Linked DNA regions of Drosophila melanogaster. Changing the gene in region 2 together with the main gene of any one other region gives a genetic interaction. Each region holds a gene or a part of one and is shown on either strand. Other genes may lie near its edges.

Region 1 (7,526 bases), about 10 Mb from region 2:
TCTGCACAGCGACAGTGTAAACAAAAACAGCGACAGGCTTTCAGATCTTGGAATTGAAGTGGCGGTGAGTCAGTGGAGGAGCGGACAGACACCGAATGCCCCGGAGATTTGTCCCAATCGGGCGCTTTTTAGCGGCAGACAAATGGGCGGCACATGATACGGATACAGATGAAGGCGTTATCGCACTGGAAACACTAGCCACCATTGATAACCTGGCATAGGCATAGTCCAGCTAATGTTAGGGGAGTCCAAAGTGCCAAAGTAGTGGAGGAGGGGGCGAGGAGGGGCCTTGACTTTATCACCCCACGCTGTTGGCGACTCTGATAAAATGAAATGGAATGGAATGGAATGGAATGGAATATGCAATGCAATGAATGCAAGCCATGTGCAGGCCACTGACAGCAAACTTGCCGTTGATACGGCGCACTTGAGCAGTTGGAGCTGATACAATGATGAGCACACTGGAGGTTCTAACCGCCGTGCGAATGGAACCAACTGCCCACCTTGTTGGTGGACACACATCGGTACACAGATATCACAAGGAAAAATCAAGTTGTTATCTTTACAACTGATATAGAATTAATAATATTCGTGGAATATTAAATGGCTTGATTTTGATTCAGGCACAATGACTTTCATTTATACAAACATATTTATCAGGGGAGCCGGTTAATTTATGCATTTTCATGAATCAAATATTTACGTAACTATAGTATAGTAAAAAGCATAGTACGCTATATTATTTTATCAGTAAGTGCGGATTTTAAAATCTCAAAAAACAAAAACACTGCTCTGATTCACCAAGCGTTTCATTCTTTATAAATGATATTAAGAATATACAAATTGCTTATTTACTTTTGAATGTAAACAAAAAGGTAAGGTTCATTCTTCGGAGAGTGTATGTATGTACATAAATCATGGAAAATAAAATCTTGCGAATGTAAATATATAGAAAATTAATTATAACAATTAGGTATTTGCATACGAGGTTACTAGAGCATGGGAAAAGCGCTCTTTCAAATGGAATTTCTCGGCAAATTAAACTACATATTCGGCAAAGAATGAAACAATTAAATTTGGCCTGCCAGTGCGTTGGTTCTGAATTTCTAAATTTAAAGGCATTTTCCGGTCAAAAACTAATTCCCGTAACCAAGATTTATGTGCAATTAGCAAGATGCAAGATGTCGGAGATGCGGAGTCAGTCTGTCAGCGATTGGGAATCGAATTTCGGTGCCCAGCAAGCAAAAGTCAGACTCAGATGCAGGAGCAGGCAAACTGCGATGACAGTCGGCGCTAAAAATTGATACTAAAAGGTGTTTGAATTGTTGTGATTTCATCATCGCCACTTACGGCATGACAGAAAAGCCAAAAACAAAACGCTCAAGCAGCGGGTAATAGCAGCACACACACACACCATACACAAAAGCAAACAACTTGGGAAAGTGGAATTTTCAAAAATGCTGCGATGAATTTTCGTTGCCGCTGTTGATTTCGATTTGGCCAAAGCGGCAAAATGGCAACAACAACATAATTATGAGCAACATTATTGACAACAACAACGGCAATAATAATACATAATAACCAACGACGACGATGACGACGACGACGACAACATTATCGTCACCTATAGACAATATAATTTTCAACTTAATTTATACAACGTCGCCAAATTCGATCTGCCAGTTTTTACAAATTGAACGCTTCACATTCAACACACAGAGATAGAGAGTGGTACTGCATCTGCGTTGCAGAATCTCTTCACACCTTATTAATTCTAATTAATTATTTGCCCAGGCAGCACAAAGGAACTGTTCGGCTTTTATAACCAAATGCGCATTGCAATTGGCCATTGTTAGTACGCAAATGCCTTAACGTTTGCTTCGCTTATGACTGCTTACAGCAGATACCGAGTGGGGATGGGTAATTAAATTTAAGTATTTATATGCATACTCGACGCTGCGGAATTGCTGGGCAAATTGTATTCTCGGAATTTGGAATGCAAGCGAACCAGGACGACAACTGGTAGCTGAGAGCTGGATGCTGAATGCTGAATGCTAGGAGCGTGGAGATGAGAACAACGTACCGTTCCGGCTCGCACGAATGGAGGGCGGCGGGCATTAGCCATGTCCCCATGCCCTATACCGTCTACTGTCCAATGGAAGAAACCGGCGTGGTGCTGGCTATCTATTCTACCTTTTTGGCCCAAAACGATGCAAACGATGCAGCCGATGCAACGCGACGCCTGCAACTGACAAACGGCGGCATCAGCCACTGTGCGTTCGTTTTAGTTCGCTTTTCGTTTTCGTTTTGGTTTTTTTTCTTTTTGGTTTGGTTACAAATTTTAATGCGAAAATGGCAAATTTATTATAAAGTCGCCCCCCGTTTTGTTCACTCGCTTGTCAATTTGATTGCCGCGCTGTCGCTTTGAACATGAGATATGGAAGGTGTTTGCCAGCGGTGTATTACTTTTTGATTTGTTTTGGCCAGGCCCGTTTGGCTTGCGCTGAATTGTGCTAGCTGGCTAGTTGGCTGGTTAGGTGGTTAGCTGGTTAGCTGCTTAGCTGCCTGCTTGGCTTGGTCAGTTGAACAAATCACAAATCTGTCTGTACAAATCGCACGTATCTGTGCGATGGCTACTGCCACTTCTACTTCTACTTCGACTTCTACTATTGCTATTGCTGCTGCTGCTGCTGCTGATGCTGCCATTCAGGTGACAATTAATTGAGTGGAGCAGTCGCTTTTGGGCCGCCATCTCGTGCACTCACCGGCGCCTTCGTTCCACATCCATGCTGCGCTGCTTGGTCACAGTTTCTCGTCCAGCTGGCATGCAAATGCAAGATAACAAGCTGATACTGCTGCTCCAGCTGCTGCTTCCTGTTGGTCAACTGCTGCTCCTGTGCTGCAACTGAAAGCGAAGCAAGGGTTTAACAGAGTTCTCTTCGGGGTACACATATTTATATTGTACATTTACCTGCCAGGAGTTGTTGGACGTCTGTCTATGCTGGGAATGCTAATAGTAATGAGGAGAGGAGGCACGCGTCAAGCGCTAGTTGTTTGCTGTTTGCTGGCGATGAGGTCACGAGTGTTTCGTTGGATTTCTGGCTAACTGCTGCCACTGAACGCCAATCGAATACGGATGGGGATGGGAATGGGAATGGGTATGGGTATGGGGATTGGGCACTTGGCGCTGGCTTCTTTTGGTGGAGTGCCGCCAACGCCACATGCGGACGCAGCCGAGCACCCGGGCGTTCCCAGGTGCGTTTCCCACACGGCAGGCAGGTGTGCTATCGATTCCCGGAAAATGCTATCAATCTAGTTTACTTCCTGTGCAAATGGGATCGTAATGACCAGGATGATCACGTTGACCACGATGGATTGTTGGGTAAACAAGGGAACGGGGATTATTGTCCGCAGTCCGCTTGGCATGCAACAGTTGTGTCAACACTTGTGGCCAAAAACCTGGCCAAAATGTGTCGAATGCGGCGGATTGGTGGTGTTGAAGGTGGGCTTTTGTTTCTCGGCCTTTTGAGTTGTTGGTTTTTGTGTGCCCCAATCAAGTAGCTTTTTCCTTCTTCTATTTTTTTGTTAATTCCAACGATACCTCTGTGCACACACACTTACACGAGCGCACGCACACCAGTGCACTGCGAACGGCGAACGTAGCAAGCGCTACAACAACAATAACAAGGCGCTTCACAGACACACACACACGCGCGCACACACCGATGTGCGTCACACCGACGTACTGTCCGTCGGCAGCGGGGGAAACGCACGGGGGGGCGGGACGGGACGGGGGCGGCTGACCGCCCAAATTGCGAATGTCCAGTTTCGGCCGCGGCCAAATAGATCAATTTGGTTTCAATTAGACGCTGCGCGTTGCACTTATTTTATTTCGGCTCGGTGCTGGTAGAGATGGCAATTGTGTTTACATATCGAAGTTGAAGTATCGAAGTCACTAGGCGCCGATGAAAATACCAGAATATACCAGGGCCAACAGGTGGCGCTCCAAATGGCGATGGTGCTGCGGCAATATCGGTTGTCTGCGTCATCGATGGGCCGCTTGTTATTCGATAGACTCAGAAACTAGCTTCATGAATAGTTATGTAAATCGGTTGCTAACAAAATAAAAAGCAGTTATTTATGAATAAAGTGATACAGCAAAATATGAATTGTACTACGCATTCTTTGCCCACATTGAAAATATACTAATACGAAAATGCATGTTTAGACAAGGTCTTCAAATGCCAAGTAATATATAATATAATCTTGGTGTGCTCATTAATTTAAATATTTTTAAAAATAACTATAAATTGAACACATACGTGTTAGAGTATCATTAACCGAATCTTCGATAGTTCGCCGCGCCGGCATTCGATTAATCGATACTATTGCTGGTGGCAGGCCCAGCACTATTAACCGCAGCCAACTTCACGCGCCTTGTTCTTTTTTCCGGTTGACTTTAACGAGAAAGGTTGTGCACGAATTCTTTTCAAGTGAATTATCTTTTTTTTTATGTTTTGAATGGGTGAAATTCAATGAAAGAGCCCACGCCAAGTGGCAAATGACACAATGGGCCGGCCGTAAACACGAAAGGACAGCTTTTTTCGGGTTAAAACTTCGGCTGGCAATTTTTTGTTGTGCCCGTGCATGTGTGTGTGCGAGGGAGAGAGAGAGAGAGAAAGAGTGTGTCTGTGAGAGAATCGTGGAAATCGCGACAACGTGTTTTTGGCAGCATTGTAATAGATTCCCCATTTGTTTTTCCCGTTCTGCCCGCAGATGCCAGGCGTCACAGTGAAGGATATTGACCAGCACGCGGTTACCAAGGCGGTCGCCGTCTTCTTGAAGAAGTGAGTACTGAACATCAAGTATATTTCCACCACATAACCTCACAATCCATTTGTTTATCCCCCCCCAAAAAAAAAAAAAAAAACACGAAAAAAACCAAATAGGACTGGCAAGTTGAAGGTGCCCGACCAGATGGACATCGTCAAGACCGCCAAATTCAAGGAGCTGGCGCCCTACGATCCCGACTGGTTCTATGTGCGTTGCGCCTCGATCCTGCGCCATCTGTACCACCGCAGTCCCGCTGGAGTCGGTTCGATCACCAAGATCTACGGCGGACGCAAGCGCAACGGTGTCCACCCCTCGCACTTCTGCCGCGCCGCCGACGGTGCTGCCCGCAAGGCTCTGCAGGCCTTGGAGCACGCCCGTTTGGTCGAGAAGCACCCGGACGGTGGTCGCAAACTGAGCTCCATTGGACAGCGTGATCTGGACCGTATTGCTAACCAGATCGTGTTCAAGCAGCGCGATGCCGCCAAGCAGACCGGGCCCATTGTTATTTCCAAGTAATCACACGGCGCCCCTTCGAATTCTAAAAAACGCATTTTTAGACTTCTATTGTAAGCGCTTTTTGTTTGCACGAGAGAGATGAGAAAATAAAACCAACCACAATTTGTAAAAGTCTACGAAACATGCGTTCTTCGAATGCTAGAAACATTTTTTATGCGGTCTGTAAACAGGGGAATAGAATAGCTCCTCTTGGCAATGTAAAAAAGTGGTAGATTTATCAGGATGCTGCTCATATTAGTAATATGCATGTGCGAAGAACAATGTGGACAACAGCTACATTTGGCGTAATTAACTAGCCAATTTATACTTTTACCGAGCCTTCACATTGTTAATGGCTTTCCTTCTATTGCTAAACTATCAGTATCAGTTTGGTATTCTGCCCTTAGAAGGTGCATAGTTTCATTAACAATCCATGTGCTAAGTGGTTGCTTGCCTTGCAGAAATAAACATTTTATATCTATACACACTGCTCATGTGCGACAGCATAGTTCATTGAAATTTAGTCATGCGGACTTGGTAAGGTTAATCTTTAGATTTAAATCATTCCCTTTTTGGTGAAATGGTGGAGCTGCCTTGCTTCAATATATATTGTGTCTTGTTTTCTATTCCATTTCGACAAATAAAATCTGCGGATAAAGAACTTTCTGATATACTTGAAGTAAACTTCTTGCATTGATTGAAGACTAAAAAGACGTAGCCTTTTATTTTGTCGATCGAACATTGTTATACAAATTCAAAAGGAGATGGCCAAAATCTTTCAACAAGTAAGGCACTAATAGCCGAAAATAAGTTAAATTAACAAAGAAATCAAGAAGCCAAGCATTTGTATAAAATCAAAGGCACAAAAATTGATTTGGAAACCAATTATGTGTAAAGCTATCTGTGTTTGCATTTCTTGGAAAATACATTTGCTAGTCTTGGCGACGTCATTTAAAGTGGCAATCTTCCGACTCAAGTTCCCAATGCAGTAAATCCACAAAGTACGCAATATTATTAAATATTTTCGACTTATTTTCCAAACTGCTCATATAAATTGTCAGTTCAAAAAGGGGTATCTTTGTTATAGAATTTATTCAAGAGTTTGTGTGTTTCTTCTGACTATGAATGTTACGGAGCCTTAAGACTAAGCACTACGGCTAACGATGCTCGACGAGATCGGGTTCCGAGGCGGGTGCTAGACCCTGTCCAGGGCCTCCACCATGACGATGCTGTTGCCGCGGATAACCTGGCCAGGTGGGAAAAACGAGTGAGTCGATAGTTTATGGCAGGGTATGCTGCGCATCTTACCACCATGCCGATGTTGTTCTTCGTGTTGTCCTTGCACTCCTCCACCGTGTCGTCCAGGACCACGTTCATGAAGGGATCGAAGCCTCGCAAAATACCGGTCACCGCGCGTCCGCCGTTCAGTTTCAGCATCATGCGCTTGTCCATGTATCTGCAAGTTGTATTGTTAATTGCATTTATGGAGCGCTATCTTTTTCCCACATGGGTTGCACTTACTTTTTCACCTCTGGGGGATGGGCCTTCGACATTTTGATGGTTTAATTTGCGCAAAATGGGAAAATTAAGTAAAAACGCGGACCGCAAGCTAGAGATGTCACTATTGATTGGAGCTATACTATCGTCTTGGTCACTCTACCAACTGGTCACACTTTCGGGCGGGAAAAATATTTTTCCGCCAAATTCGCTGGCTTTTAAGTGCTCACATAAATGAAATTTTCAAATAGCAAATAACATAGGAATAATCCTTCTAAATCGCAATATAAAAACATATATACAAGGAGTGGTAAATGACAGTATTCTATTAATGGCAAAACGATTTATTTAAACAGACGTCGCATCCGCATAAACGATCTTTCACACTTTTTATTAACGGTTAGTATAAATAAAAAAAAACATTAATCCTTAGTTTATTTAACCAATTTTGTTTGCTGAAATCGATTCTTGAAAGAGAAGCTGACATTTTTTTTATATATGCCTCCCTACTTCAGGCAGTGCGAACATACCGCATCAACGCGACTTGTAGCGGCCGTGTGAAAAGGCTATTTTGTGGTTAGCGCAGATCTGCGCTGCAGTGTGACCCCGGCTACAGGTATTTCGGCATCGCACAGGGTCACACTCGCCCAGGCACCCGTATAAAATCCCCGCCCCCCTGATCGACGATAGTATTTCGAAAA
Region 2 (7,370 bases):
TATTAATAGTGCTAAACTCTTTTTTAGCATAATCAGAGCAAAATTTAGTGGAAATCAAATTGCTTCGTAATCATGGCAATGTTTTGCGAATGTATAAAACAATTTACGTGCATGTGTGTACATACGTACCTACTTATTACCCCTTTAAGATAACAGATAGCACGGAATGTTTTACATGCTAGAAAACAAAATGAAAAAAAAAACACACTTGACAAAAAGTTTAAAAAAAATTTAAAATTGAACACGTACTCTAACATCGATTGTCAAGATGCTGGATTTTAATAGCCTATAACCATTCATATTTTTAAAATTTCTAAACATATACATATTTATCTTTCAGATATGGCTCTGAACCTGAAGGCCCTGCTGGGCATGCTGTTCGTGTTCATCGGCTGCTGCAGCAACGTGGTCTTTCTGGAGCTGATCATTCAAATCGATCCGGGAGCGGGTAACCTGATCACCTTCGCCCAATTCCTGTTCATCGCGCTGGAGGGTCTGGTCTTCACCTCCAAGTTCTTTACGGTGCGACCGAAGATTGCGCTGAAGGACTACGTCATCCTGGTGGCCCTGTTCTTTGGGGCGAACGTTTGCAATAACTATGCCTTCAACTTTAACATACCCATGCCGCTGCACATGATCTTCCGTAGCGGATCACTGATGGCCAACATGATCATGGGCATTGTGCTGCTGAAGAAGCGCTACAATCTGCGACAGTACAGCTCCGTGGCCATGATCACGGCTGGCATTATATTGTGCACTCTGGTCTCCAGTGGCGATGTCAAGGATAATACACATCACAGCCTCAAGGTGGATACATCCTACTCCGATTTCTTCTGGTGGACGGTGGGTATTGGCTTGCTGACAATCGCCCTGCTGGTCACCGCCTACATGGGCATCTACCAGGAGGTGATATACAAGAAATACGGCAAGCATCCCAGCGAGGCCTTATTCTTTACGCACATGTTACCTTTGCCCGGTTTTCTGATCATGGCCGGCAATATAGTCCAACACTTTGGTATCGCATGGTCATCGGAACCAGTGGCCGTGCCACTGCTGGGAGCCATTGGACTGGAGTGGAAATTCCCGCTGATGTTGTTCTATCTGCTGTGCAACGTGGTCACCCAGTATGTATGCATCAGTGCCGTCTACGTTCTGACCACCGAATGTGCATCGCTAACCGTAACGCTGGTGGTCACCCTGCGCAAGTTCGTCTCGCTGCTGTTCTCGATCATTTATTTCCGGAATCCATTCACCCTAAACCATTGGGTAGGCACCATCCTGGTATTCTTCGGCACAATACTCTTCGCCAATGTGATCAACCAGGTGAGGGACGCCTATCGGGCCAGGTCGAGCCGGAAGACCCACTTCGACACCGCTCCGCTGGCCAAGAAGGTGGAGTAATCTTCGCGGGCTGTGATGGTTCCTGCTGCAGAGGCCATTAACCATTAACCATTAATTTGTAGTCGTAGCGCCTTGTTTGTACATAGAATTTGCCTAGTGTTTAGACGCCTCTTTGTCTGGTTTGTAATTCTTGTGTCCGTGTCTTTCTAGATTTTCAAATGTTCGTGTTTTCTTTTAAATTAATAGTTGTCCAAAAAGTGTGTAATATACAACGTTGAGTGTTTCGAACATTAAGCCATCTATTTAATTGATTTTTTTTTAAATAAATTCTTGAAAAACATATATTTGCAGAAGCTGAAATATCTTCGAATCAAAAATAATGTGAGATAAGATATGAGTTTGCAAGTTCGAGTCTTTTGGACATGAACTCATTAGTCAGCTTGTCGAAGATTCCAAGAAAATTTTGACTAATTTCCGAAATCTCTTTCAATTTCCCGCCACATTTGAAGCTACATACACTTATCACATCGTGCTAGTGATCATGCTTAATTAGCCATGGGGGGTACATATTCCAAAGTTTCCCTTGTTTGATCAGTTGCTTTTGGCTGAAGGATTTCTGCAGACATCTGTTTGGTTGGACGTGCGCACGTTCTCGAGTGTAAGAAAAACAAAGGTTTATTGCCACATTCTTGTATAAGTATGTATTTGTATATAGGTAATATATATGTATATTCAATGAGTTAATACTTATGAAAGGAGTTTTTCGGGAAATCGTGTTATCTGGCACCAACATCTCACACACTACACTGTCGTACATAACAATCGCTGGTGTTGGCTACTTTTTGTTTAATTCAAATGCACGGATAAGTACAGGATTATCAGGAATCAAAGAACAGAAGGCGCGAAACCAAAAAAAAAAAATATTTATACTTGTATATATTAAATTATCAAAACGAAACTCATGATGGATAGTTTGGACAGGCTGATTGGAGAGGCAGCTGGCTAGTGAATCGACTGCTGGCGATCTTACTGCTCATCCTTGTCCTTGGCACCGTGCTTAAGGATGCGCGTGAATTCGAGGTAGTCGAACAGACCGTTTTTGATGGGCGCCTCCCGATACATCTCGTCCACCTGTGAATGTAAATGGAAAAGAAGTTGTAAGGGCACACTCCGACTTGATATCGTAAACAACTTGACAACATACATCCTCGTCTGTGAACCGATCACCCATGGTGGTCAGCAGCTCCCTCAGGCGATCCTCGGGCAGGACGCCCATATTCTCCTCGTCGAAGCAGCCGAAGGCGTTCTTGATCACATCCTCGGGATCGGTGCCCTGCAGCCGCTCGCCGAAGAGCGTGAGGAACATGGTGAAGTTGATGGGCCCGGGCGCCTCGTTCATCATGCCATCGAGATAGTCGTCCGTTGGGTTCTTGCCCAGCGAGGCCAGCATGTCGTGCAGATCCTCCTTCTCGACGAAGCCATCACGGTTCTGGTCGATCATGTTGAATGCCTCCTTGAACTCGGCAATCTGCGCCTGATCGAACATGGCGAACACATTGGAGGTGGCGCGTTGGGCGCGCTTCTTGGTGGTGGCGCGACGTCCGGCGGTCTTACGGGATGACATGGTTGCTGTTGGATTGGTGGTTCTGATGCGGTTAATGGAGCTAAATGGAGCCGGCCTATGGAGCTGGTGGCACTAGTGCTTCGCGCTGGAGTGATGTGTGTGCGGCGTGGATCTGAAATCGAAAAACGCCGACTCACATTAGCATTTCGTTGGCCGGGTATGTATTTATGGCTATATATAGACATATTGCAGCGAATTCCGCTGAAACCGATTTTCATTGCTCCCCAAACAAACTGTGTCAACATACAGTGGACGCTCGCTACAGTGAGTACACCATGCATATGCTTATCACAACGGAAAGAACATCTTATTGCTGCTCTTTAAGGTTTTTTAAGGAATGAAGGTTTGGCCATTGCCTAAAATGGGCGAACTACAAATTATATTTATAAATAAATAGTTTTAATACAGTTTTAGGCCAGAAAGGATAATGCAAAAGCAGTTCGATGGCTCCATGCTTCCGCTACAGTTACAAGTCCACCTTATCGGGCGCCCACTGTGAGTACGACTCATGCACGCACACATGCGCAGCTCTCTGAGTCACTCGCGCAAACGAAAATGACACGTATGGGAGTTTCGCTCTCGCTCTGCGCCAGTGCGTGCATGTGTATGCGAGTTTATCAATGCTGTTGAACTGCGGTTAACAAAAACAACATCGCACACGTATTTGGCTCATTGAAAACATTCTCACACACACTGGCACACGCATTTCAATTAAAGCCTTAAAAGGCCAGAAAAAAACCGCAGTTGAAGCACCCAAATTCACTCGAGAACTCAAGTTGGGCCAAATGTTTGCGACTTCGTTGATTTATCACTTTCGAATGGACATTTAAATGGAATTATAGCACAAAAACAATTGTTTTCATTTGCGCGCTGCCGACGCTGACTCATACGCATACACTAACACACACGCACACTCACATAGGGCAGCGCCCTTTGGGAGTTCAGTTCGTTTATTTTATCGAATATGATTGCTTGATTACGCCTGATTTGATTCATACTCACAGCTGCCGAATGCCGAGTGTTTAATACTATCGAAGTTTCGTTAATGCAACTTTCGACCAGCTGCACTTTTGTCTTTTATAATTTCGGTTCGACGAGAAGGCCAAGTGTGACCAGCATAGAGGCGGTTTCAATTTATCAGAAAATACCGCAGAATATGCTAAAAATTACTGTGCAAAAGTGCTAATTGTTGGAGCTCCTAAAATAAATAAATATTAAGACTATAAATTATATTATAAAATATAAAATTATATTACAAATGTGAATACTACTGAGACTAGGACCATGGCTATTAGAATCCTAAAAACCTATTGTCAGTTGTGCTACCAGATCTTGTTTTAAAATATTCGTTCCTAAGAAGCTCTTTTCTTGTAGAATCTAAAGTTTCTCAAAAAATTTTCTTAAGCAATCCCAATTAATTTTATTTTTCTTTATTCTTCACTGTCAAACATGGTATTTTTTTTTTTTTGGTATTAACTTTTTGAATTGCCCGCGTTCTGATTGGAGTTTCAGGAGTATGCGCACAGTCTGGCAGCCCCATATTACAGCACTTCCAAATACGGTAGTACCACTATCTTAGGATATTGTTTTCAATACGGTATGGACACACTGCAAAGTGTTTGGAATGTTCGATATTTGTGTAAAATTCTGAGAGACCTGAATGAAAAGAGGCATGCATTAGGGCGTCGAACGAGGGATTTTCCAGCCCAGCAGATCCTTGCCAGCGCGTGAAAAGCGAGTCGAGTGAAAAATCGAATCGATTGGCACGGTTGCGGTCCAATTAATTTCGAACTGAACTGCGCGATTTGCAGGAGAAGATGTGTCTATACCTGCATGTGCATGTGTATCTGTGTGTGAGGTGGCCCACGGCTGTGTGTGTGAGCAGCGTGTGAGTGTGTGTTGGTGTGTGGGTGTGTGGGCACACTGGAAAGAATCAATAAAGGATGTGCTGCGGATTGCTGAGCGAGAAAAAAGGACGAAAAGTGCTAGCCAGCGCGAATTAACGGTTGACTTTTGGCACGATTAACGGAATAACGGTCAAATAAGCCACACAAGCGAGAGAACAGTGAAAATAACGAAAGTGCGGGCACAGTTAATTAGCAAATTAACGAGTGGGTGGGCACAGGATTTCAGGATTTCGATATATTTTGGATTCCTGCACACGAACAAGATGATGAGATACTGCCTCATAATTGCTTTGCAGCTGTCGTTGGCATGTAAGTATCAAATAAAGTTTCCAAACCCAGGGGGGTGGTACAAAAAAAGCGATGGAGTGGGAGGAGGGAGTAAGCCAGTGGGAGGGGGATAAAGGAGGAGTGGGTGACCTCCGGGTTTAAGAAAATCCCCAACCCCTATGTTACCATTACCAAAATTCAACTAATTGACTCCTTCATCTACTCCCAACCCATAACAAATCCATGCCGAATCCTCGCCAGACTCCGTGGAGGTGCACTTCGAGGCGCCGGACAGCGGCTTCTTTCTGAAGCACGCCCGCCAACCACCTGTGACGCCGGAGATCGCCAATGTGCAGACATCCTCGGCGGTGCCGCCGTTACGGCAACGATCCTCCTATGATTCCGTGTTATCTCTGGACAGATTCACTGTGGTCGAGACCACGCAGCCGGTGTCCATACGCGCCAGCTATGGACCGTTTTCCACGAAACAAACGGTGCCAGCCCGCTACATTGTGCCGGACACAATGGACAGCCAGTCGGGCGATTATATGAACGTGAGTTATCCCCAAATCCTGGCAAGCAACAAAAGGACGCCTTGTCATACCACTTTCTCTCCCACAGAATGCCACTCTACTGGAGCTCCAGCAGCCAAATATGCACCTGGACATATCCGCCCATTTGGTTCGCTCCAGTGTATCGCAGGATGCTCCCGTGCTTCGGGTACTATTCCACGCCGGAGCCGATCCGGGTGGTCATTTGCAGCGCCAGAAGGTCTGTGTACTCCTGCACGTGGCGATGGGTTCGGAGCAGCCGCTCAAAGGACGCTGCATGCCGGAGGGCGAGGACGGTGTCTGCGTAGCCGAAGTGGTCGTGCCCCTGGGCTGGTGGCCCCAGCTGCCGGCGCCCACACAAGATGGCAGTGGTCAGGCGCCACCCAAAGTACCGCAGCGGTATGCCCAGGTCTCGTACAGTGTCTTTGAACCGCCTTTGCGTAATCCCGAGCAATGCGAGCCGAAGGTGCAGATCCAACCGTTGACCACATTCGCCCAGGTGCCTTTGTTGGCCGCCAGGACTCCCTATCGTATGTTGCGCGCCGATGATGCCGTCACCTTTCTCCTGCCACAACATCCGCTGTATCCACTCTCCCGTCTACATGTGCCCGTCTTTTTACATCAATATCCCGATCAGCGGGTGGCCGCCTTCACTGTGAGAGCTCGTGTTAAGGCGGGCTTAAAGATTCTGGGCGCCACCGCCTCCACAGACCAATGGAGCGTTTCTGTAGAGAAGGAAAATCCCAAACACACTACCGCTCGCGTTACTGCTTTCCGCAAAGAGGCCGAATCCAGTCTGGAAAGTGGTGGCAACCTAACCAGCGAGGTGTTTGAAGTATTCTCATGGCTGCTCGAGGTGGCCGAGGACACCAATGATATTGTGGACGGTGGCAAGATTGTGTGGTCCGTGACGCATGTCTATGACACGCCAAAGGACAAGGATTCCGGGGAACTGGTTATACCCGATGACAACAAGAAGCGACTAATTGCCAAGCTGGAGATCAACAAGGATGACATTCAGGCGGTGCTACCGATGGCCAAAATCTGGGAGGTGATGAACACGGCGGTGCTAACGGGCAGACAGGTGGCCCAGGCGATGAAGGTGTTCATCGTTTCGCAGGCAGGCAAGGTGGCCGATGTGACGCTACAGAGCTCCTGTCACGCCGAAGATGAAAGTGTAATCAAGGTGCGTCTGATGACTGTGAATCGTGCAATTGCTAGCTAAATAACCAATCAACTTCTTTCAGGTCTCCTCCTCCTGCAGCTCTGTTTATGTGGATGGCTCCGAGCAGCGCGGCTCATCCAATGCCTCGGTCATTGTCAAGTATGGCACCTATGTGGGCGTGGCCAAGTTCATCGTTTGGATGCCCGAGTTTCCGCTGGAAGTTTACATATCCGATTTCCGTCTCTCCCAAATCAAAGGATGGAAAGTAACCGATGACAATCACTATCTGTAAGTTTATTATCCTGTAGTTTGAATATCTTACTTATCATTCTTATTCATTGCATGGCAGACACAACAAGCAGTCTCGTCGAAGAAAGAAGAGATCCTACGTTTGGGGTCAGCATGGAACGAACTACTATAACAATCTGGGAGCGGACAAGACGATTTGTCGCGCTCGCTACCAGCAAAGTCCCGTGGAGGTGTATGCCAAGTTCCTGGCCGTGGACCAGGTGGGA
Region 3 (8,437 bases), 4.8 Mb from region 2:
CCGCCCCCGTACTGAATTTCCGCAATCCGCAATGCTGAAGATCGCCGCCGAGGGAATCGCGCCACGTCTGGCGGCGGCCTGTTGCTCCATTGGAGCGAAGAGCAGAGGCCAAAGAATGGCGCCCCAGGCGGCCAGGGGCACCCAGAAGTACCTGTCGCAGTCGCAGCACCTCCACAAAATGCTGGTCATCAAAGACCACTACGAGTTCGATCAGAAGGTGAGTCAGGATTATGCAACGAAACGGGTTGCGATGGCCAGGAACGGCAGCAGGCAACGATGACCTTGTGCGCTGGCCTACGTGCTTGGGTTTGGGATACTTGGGAGGAGCAAGGGGTGCAGGCAGGGGAAGGGGACGAATCCACCCCATGACGTACTTGGCCGTGGACCCGTCCATAGATACAAACATATGTGTGCGCACACTCGCCTCAGTTCTGTTTTCAATTTTGTTTTCGGCCTGTGCTCGTGTATGCAAATGAGCCCCAAAACATTGGATACCGGTTTAAACCCCTTTCAGCCAGCCGCTGCGTCCGCGAAGAAACGGGAGCCAGCTGCAGAAGACCCTTCAGCATATCGCTCCATGGCCGAGTTATCAATTGCAGTTGGATTAGGCGAGATAAGAGAAACGTGAGTCACACACACACACACATTTTGTAGCCTCCCAAGTGACCACCCCGCAATCTCAGAGTAGACGGAATTTAAAACTACTAATATAGCAGACACTGGCTACAATTGTATGAATCACTCACTATATGAAAACTGCAGTATTCTGCCGCAAATCAATCTCGATAGTCACCCCGGCAGCCGCAGGTCCATCTCCCCTTTTTAGCTATGACGTTATGCCTATAAGTGGCATAATCTGGCATACTCGACGTTGTGGTGACGTTATGGGGATGACAATGAGGTGTTTTGTTAGTTCCGAGCAAAGCACTCCAATTTTAAAGTCTGTTCAACCACCACCTATGTATTATGCCTTGTTCCGCAGGTGATCAACAGCGACAACCCGGTGATCGTGAACTTCCACGCCGAGTGGTGCGACCCCTGTAAGATACTCACGCCCAAGATGCTCGAGCTGCTTGAGAACTCGAACGAGATCGACCTGGCGGTCATCGATGTGGAGACGAACCTGGATCTCGTCGAGACCTTCGAGGTGAAGGCCGTGCCCGCTGTTCTGGCCTTCAGGAACGGCGTCGTAGTGGACAAGTTCATTGGTCTGGTCGACGCCAACAGCATCGAGACCCTAATCGACAAACTGAAGCGGAAGCAACAGCAGAAGCAGTAGTGAGCTGGAGCGGCGATGCGATGCACAGGTGGATTAGATCAGGGATGCTATGATTTTACACACGAAACGGGAGACTGGAACTGCGATATGAAGCCCAATGCCGAGGCAGAATTTGCAATCATCGATGCTGAAAGAATGTGCACAACATACCTTAATATGCAATAAAACTAACTTTAATTATGGCTACTCTTAATTCACACTTCGTCCACAATCGATTTAGAATATTAATGGATCGCTTTATTGTTTGGTTGGTTCAGATACAGATACATAAAACTTGGTCCACATCTGGTTGTTATCTGACAGCTTCCCCAGACGAGGTTCCAATTACAATTCGTTAGGCATAATACAAATACATCCACGTGCACATGCGGTTTGGATAATAACTCAACTTGCTTATAAACATAAATCGAAATAGAAACAGAACAGAACAGAAACGGATCGAAGCCCGCCGACCGGGCGGAACCTACAGACTTAGACTAACCGGAAGCGGAAATCGATACGGCAAAGCGGGTAACGGTAGCGTAGCGGCAACGGCGGTTGGCGGTGTCCGAGTTCAATAACATTTTATGTGGATTACACAGCCGCACAAAGAAAAGCTGGAGTCGGAGTCCCAAGCTCTTGTTCGTCGTCTAGTAGCAGGCCATTTTTAAAATCTATTCCCAAATCCTGCTACCGATAATTGCACATTGGGTTTCCGATTAAAATCAAAAGGGTTTGGGACGAATGCAAGAACTTAGTCATGTGGTTAAGGCCAGACTCCGGGATCCGCGGAGCCCGAAACTCCCCCCAGCTTTCCTTTGTGGGACTGTGTCTTCCGGGTAATGGTCAATCCTCAGGACTGTCCGAGTGCGGATCGCCAGCCGAGAAGATCCCATCCGGTCCGCTGCGGCCGATGGCGGTCACCTCATCCTTAGCGAGCCAGTTGAATGATCAGGGCGGCGCACATTTCGAAAAACTCCATGGTGTGGTGGCCGGTCGGCTGCAGCGGCATCACCCCGGACACGCTAAGCGGCGGCGGAGTAAGGCTCTCCATGATGACGTCGTCGCCCTGCTCGACCTCGTCGTTGGTCAGCGACTTGAAGTCGAGCAGATAGCTCTTGGCGTCCACCTGGTACAGCTGCAGTGACATCTTCGAGAACTTGCCGGTCTTCACGTTCTGCCTGCGCACCCGAACGTGGTACGGATTGATGATCTTCCACTCGTAGCTGAGTGCCTTCATCGCTCGGTATACCTCGAGCATTATGTCGTTGGGCTTGCTCTGCGACCGGATGCCCAGATGCCACTTGGCGCGCTTGATGGGAGTGCCGCCACGTGCGGTTTTCTCCGGGAAGGCTCCGCCGCCAGATGTCTGCACGGACATGGCCAGTTGACGGTCCCGCATCGGCGCAATCCGCTCCGGATGCGGTCGAATGGGTATGGTGCTGCTAGGCGTGCCTCCAGCCACTGGTGGCACTGGTGTGGCGGTGCCCGAGCTGGCTGAGGTACCTCCGCCAACGGTCACGGTGGCCAGAGGGGCTTGGTGGTCCATCGATGATTGGGGAACGGGCGGAGGCGGCGGCGGTGGTGGAGAGCCGGCCACAAAGAAGTTGTTGATCTCGTTTATTTGGTTGGCCGCGTCGTCGGCGAAGCGTTTGTTGTCGATGATCAGATGGTAAGCGATGGCCAGCTGATCGTGCGGATCGCCGCTGAGCAGCGAGTTGTGCACCTCGGTCTCCTTGACGCCGAACTTGGTGCAGACCTCTGCCACAGCGTAGGTGTCGATCACATTGGAGTCCTGCTCGATGGACGAGGGGAAGAGGTAGGCCGGGAGGTCCTTTTGGAACCACTCGTGCTTCTTGATTTCCTCGATGTTGGCCCGCTTGAGCGGGTCCACTTGCAGCATCTGACAGACCAGATTGACCACTTGTTTGTTGAGGTACTCGGGAATGGGGAAAATGCCCGACTTGATCTTGCGAAACAGCGTAGGCACATGCTCGTCGTCAAAGGGCAGCGTCCCGCACAGCAGGGCGTACAGGATGACGCCGCACGACCAGATGTCCACCTCGGGACCGGCGTACAGCTTGCCGGAAATCACCTCGGGCGCCGCGTAGTTGGGCGAGCCGCACGAGGTGCGCAGGAACTCGCCGTCCAGCATCATGTTCGAGAGCCCAAAGTCGGCGATCTTCACGTGCATGTTGTGGTCGAGCAGCAGGTTCTCTGGCTTCAGGTCTCGATGCACGATCATGTGCCGGTGGCAATAGTCCACGCCAGAGATAATCTGCTGAAAAAAGCGGCGCGCTTGGTGCTCCTGCAGCTTGCCGTGCTTCACAATATAGTCGAACAGCTCCCCGCCGCTCACGTACTCCATGATCATGAAGATGTCCGACGGCGTCGATATGACCTTCGGAGAGTTACGGAAAGGTTAGCAAGCACGTTTATATCAGCTGATGACTGCAGCCGTCCCTAGGTTCCCCCAAGCCCTGCCTAACCTAATTGGTAACTGATCCAATCCGAAAATCGAGGGAAAATGTGCTTGTAAAACCAAAGCAGACCCCGTACATATTCCTTTTATAAACTTTCCTTCCAAACTTTTTGCTCATTTAAGTTGGGCTTCTATGTCTGTTGCGAATGTCTAGCCAGTGGCCCAGTTTCTAGATATGCATTTGCCTTCCGCAACAAAATTCGGATGACTAGGCATGACCGTGTACTTTATAGATAAACAAACCTCCAAAATGTTGTTATAGAAAAGCTATTCCCCCTTCGGGCATATCCTGCCTTTTTGTTTATTAAACTGCGGCTTGATTGTTTGTTATTAGTAGCTGGCCAGCGTAATTGGAAGAGGAAACCAGTAACCCAGTTTCCTGGAAAGCTTGGACTTAGAAAGTCTAAGCTTGGAGCCATGAACTCACCTGGTACAACTTGATGATGTGCGGATGGCGGAAGAGCTTTAGGTTCTGGATCTCACGCCGGATCTTGCCCACGACGTCCAGGCTTTTGATCTTCTGACGATTGAGTATCTTGACGGCCACCTTGACGCGTGTGATCTGGTGCTCGCCGATCTTCACCTTGCCGAAGGTTCCCGTTCCCAGGGTTGCGCCCAGTAGGTAGTGCCCAATCTTGACCAGCGGCTGGCCATTGGCGCTGCCGGCGGCCACCGCCTCAGCGGCCGCAGCCCTCATCTGGGGCATCTCGAGCAGGTAGCTCCTTGTTGGACTGGGGGTGCTCCACTGCTCCGCTGCGGATGGGCGCGGAGAGGGGAGCGGTGGTAAGGTCGTTATCGGTTATTGCGTAGTGTACTCCGCTGAATCAACAGAATAGAATAGAATAGAGCAGCCACTCACGTTACGTTCTTCCTGCCAGCCGTGCCACCTCGCCCGGATACGGATTCGGATGTCAAAGTGGTTGTGGATGTGTCAAGGGCGGTTGAATTGATACTGATTTCCTGGATTTCTATTCGAGCGCGGCAACGAGACTCTCCTTTACGCTTGGGTTTTCTTCGCGTTTTGCTTATTTAATTGACATTGGAAGGCGCTGCCACTTCCAACAACACTGCCTTCCAACAACACTCGTTCCAGCAGCTGATTCGCGCCCTCTCTTTCTCTCTCTCTCTCGCCTTCCAGTGGCTATCGATAAGTGGCGGCCAGTGATGCCAGGTAGTTCCGCAGTGGCGCGCAATTTAAAACCATCTTGCCACTTATGCTGAATTTATAAAAAGCAATATTAATGGCTTTACTCAACCACATTTGAAATAGTTAAGCTCGCAAAAAAACTAGTAGGTGTGCGTTGTCGAAACTCTCTGATGTCCAATTGAAAGGGAAAAGATGCCCGTTTTGTGATTTAAATACACATTTATTACACCAAGTTGATTTTTTGGATCCACTCCACGCGCATAGAAGGTCAGAAAGATACCTCTTTTGTGCAACGTTAAGTGTAGATCAACATTCAATATAGATTATCAAGAATACTGTCCTAAAATTCTCAAAGATGTATGGTAAAATTCAGTTTGTTCACAAATATGCGTGTATATGTCAAGCTTTGTATTTTTCTTTTTTAGTTTCTGTAGTAAAAGGCTGCCACAGCTTCTTGTTTTCACCTGTCAAATAGAACCGCTTAATGACTAGTATATAATGTTCGTGTAAATGCGTTTTTACGACGATCAGGATTCAGCTAAGCGAAAATTGAACATTTTAACTATTTATTTGCTTAGCCTAACATCAATTTACAACAATAGTATATCGTCAACTTAAGCTCTGATCCGCACTGTACTGTGCTGACTGTACCTCAAATCTGTATCATCTCTCTCGCTCTCTTTCGCTGAGGCTGCATCGCACCATCTCGCTCGCAGACTCAAGAATTCAATTTGTGTTCGTTTATTATAAACTTTAGGATTTAAGGTTTAAATACATGTATTTCTTTCGTGCTTTAAGTTTATTCTGAAAAAAAAGTCACCTTAACTATGATATTGCTACGAGACTAGGATTTACGTTTAGAGATTATCAATACTAAAAAAAAAAAATTTCGGACCTCTGGGTCTCACGGGTATGCTGGTTGGAAAATTTCAAGTTTATTTCATATTCAGCCATCTTCTTGTCGGGTTTCTGTTGGAAGTTTACCCGAAGTTCGGGTATTTATACATCATTCATATATATTATCTAATATATAGGTGTTTGTATAGTGTGGTGTTCTTGTTCTTGGTTTGTTGGTAGTACATCAATAATTTATTTATAATGTAGTAAAAAGCAAGTGACGCGAACGAACCCTCGCTGTCGACGTTCCTTATAAGTCTACAAATTAACCATCTATTCAGAGCAAGCGTCTTCTGTCTGTTGTCATAAGGTTCGTCTCTCTATATATCCGTGTGTGTAACGTCCGTCTCACAGTGTCCGGCCGGAATAGTCGCCACATCTTGGGGCTTTGCATCCGTGCAGTTACTCAATTCATTTACAATTCGCAATCCACCAAGAGCGAAGATTGTTTCGTGAACTGGAGATGAGTGCAGGAAAGTTATATTTGAGTTTTGGTTGCGTTCTCGTCTCGTCTTGAGTGGCTGATGGTTTGCGTTTGGGGCTTTGTATGTTGCTCATACAAACTCATTGGAATTTTTTCTTATGTGGTTCGATCAAGGATTCGACTCCGACCGTCTTTATGTGTGTGTGTGTGTGTGTTGTTGGGGATTGTGTAGGCTGGTTAACTTTGGAACATTATTTCGTACATCTTAATACACGCTATGCATCTTTAATTTGCTCTGCTTAATTCTGTGATAGTGTTCTTGTGGTACTGCCTATGTCTGCCGTGCACCTTTGCTTTGCCTCTTGCTGCCAATGCTTGGATTTGCTATTCCTGGCCAGTGTGGTTTCGGGTTATATCGTATGGTCTCAACCAATCCTGGCTCTCTGATATGGATATACATATATGGATAGCAAGATACATACATACACATAGAGAGCGAGAGAGTTGGCTACTATTGGATATCGCTTCTGGGTAATATCTCCTCTTCCCTCCTCCGATTGCACTCAATCTATTTCTACTCGCTTCTACCATGTGGCCACCGCCTCCGCCGCCTCCGTCTGCACTCACTTTAAGCTTGTGGACTGGCTCTGTTCATGGTAACAGGAAGAGAGACCGGAACCGTGACATATACCGGAACATACACGGCCAAAACAGCTGGGTAGGCCGAAAGTGACGCAGCTGGCGAGGAGATGGAAACAACTGATGGATGGGCGGGGGCTGGAAAGTAGAGCGGCACTAGGTAGTCGGAGTGGGAACGGGATCTGCCACCGAATGCGCAATATATCTGATGGTTGTTCTGGAGGCTTGCGGGCGGCGGCTTAAACGGAATCTGCTGTTCTTGTTGGGGCTGTGGCAAATGCCATTGCCTACGGGATGCGGCTGGCTGGGGAATCGGCTGCAAATCGGCAATGGCAGCATGAACACTTCACCTGTGAGATGCAGCTAATATCGTGTAAAGAAATTAATGGCGTTTAAATAAATTTCTGTGCATGGTTATATGGATGCGGTTTTTGAGATCGTGTTGTTCTATTTGATCTACCTCTGTGCGCCATGTGGTGGAAGTTACCACCACCGCCTCCACCGCCGCCGCCACCACCACCACCGCCGCCTCCGTGAATGGGCATGCCCATGCCCATGCCCATTCCCATGTTTACGCCCATGCCCATGTTCATGCCCATCGGGTGCATTTGCTGCATGTGGTGCGGATGCGGGCCGCCCATGTTGTGGTGGTTGTTGTTGTTGTTGTTATGATGGTGGTTGTTGGGGTGATTGTTGTTGTGGTTGTTGGGATGGTGGTGCTGCATGTGGTGCAGCTGCGGATGGTGCTGCGGATGCTGGTGTGGATGCTGCGGCTGATGATGATGCGGCGGCATATGCGGATTGTGGTGGTTGTTGTGATGGTGATTATTGTGGTGATGAGGTGGGTGCATCGGTCCACCTGGGCCCATGTGGGGCGGACCACCGCCTCCGCCACCATTGCCACCTCCGATCTGGGCCATAAACTGGGCCGCCTTGGCCTTGCCGTGTTCCTCGGCGAGTCGTACCCAGATTGGCTGGGATCCGCCCTCCGGCACCGTGTTGTTCAGCGCCTTGATCGCCTCTTGAGCTTCCTCGCGCTTATTGTAACTGCAAGCAAGAAAGCGGGTTTCAAAAGCAGAATCGAAGTAAGTGCAGTTCAGCCACCAGTCGAACTCATGATAAATTTGGACGTGGATTTCTGTGAGCATACAATTAAGTGGGGCACACTGGACGGGAATTGAGCACCGTGACCTAATTTCGAATCGTGGATGCTGCACACGCAGATCGCACCCGTACTCACCGCACAAAAGCAACGCCGCGCGGTCGTCCAGTGAGCTTATCCCGCAGGATGTTTCGCTGAACAATCAGGCCATAGGGCGAGAAGATGCGGTCGAGCATGTCGTCGTTGATGTTTCGCGACAGGTTGATGACGTACAAATTCGTATCCTTAATGGACTGCCCACCCGGTCGAGCATACGACACCTGAGGGAGACGAAAAAGAGAGTCACAAAGGAGTCATGGGAATTCCGGGGGATTCTAACGCACCTTTAATCGCTTGTTGCGCACATAGAAGCCATTTAGCTTCTGGATGGCGTCCTCCGAGTCCGACTCCGTTTTGTAGTCCACGAAGCCGTAGCCGAAGCTATATCC

The links.
Region 1: of sqh (region 2) and Rok, changing one suppresses a phenotype caused by changing the other (phenotypic suppression), as found in Drosophila melanogaster (2 studies listed by BioGRID).
Region 3: of sqh (region 2) and AMPKalpha, changing one suppresses a phenotype caused by changing the other (phenotypic suppression), as found in Drosophila melanogaster (2 studies listed by BioGRID).

The regions. Positions count from the first base shown.
Region 1 is NC_004354.4:16,633,457-16,640,982, forward strand, and holds the start of Rok (Rho kinase), read right to left. Parts: upstream 3,959-7,526; 5' UTR 2,972-3,958; intron 2,906-2,971; 5' UTR 2,828-2,905; coding exon 2,766-2,827; intron 2,212-2,765; exon of another isoform or gene 2,119-2,211; coding exon of another isoform or gene 2,084-2,118; intron 1-2,083. Other genes in the region: RpS19a (ribosomal protein S19a), read left to right, coding at 4,777-4,847, 4,950-5,349; SNRPG (small nuclear ribonucleoprotein G), read right to left, coding at 6,524-6,574, 6,637-6,784, 6,850-6,881.
Region 2 is NC_004354.4:6,221,040-6,228,409, forward strand, and holds sqh (spaghetti squash), read right to left. Parts: upstream 4,102-7,370; 5' UTR 3,968-4,101; exon of another isoform or gene 3,658-3,967; intron 3,482-3,657; exon of another isoform or gene 3,372-3,481; intron 3,119-3,371; exon of another isoform or gene 3,078-3,118; 5' UTR 2,966-3,077; coding exon 2,546-2,965; intron 2,473-2,545; coding exon 2,368-2,472; 3' UTR 2,022-2,367; downstream 1-2,021. Other genes in the region: Efr (ER GDP-fucose transporter), read left to right, coding at 343-1,401; dtn (detonator), read left to right, coding at 5,136-5,181, 5,401-5,693, 5,761-6,876, 6,938-7,143, 7,205-7,364. UniProt on the Drosophila melanogaster protein: Required for cytokinesis, could regulate contractile ring function.
Region 3 is NC_004354.4:1,371,918-1,380,354, reverse strand, and holds AMPKalpha (AMP-activated protein kinase alpha subunit), read right to left. Parts: upstream 4,820-8,437; 5' UTR 4,600-4,819; exon of another isoform or gene 4,486-4,599; 5' UTR 4,447-4,485; coding exon 4,168-4,446; intron 3,660-4,167; coding exon 2,190-3,659; 3' UTR 1,459-2,189; downstream 1-1,458. Other genes in the region: CG3719 (uncharacterized protein), read left to right, coding at 32-217, 983-1,279; ssx (sister-of-Sex-lethal), read right to left, coding at 7,004-7,197, 7,308-7,894, 8,088-8,269, 8,333-8,437.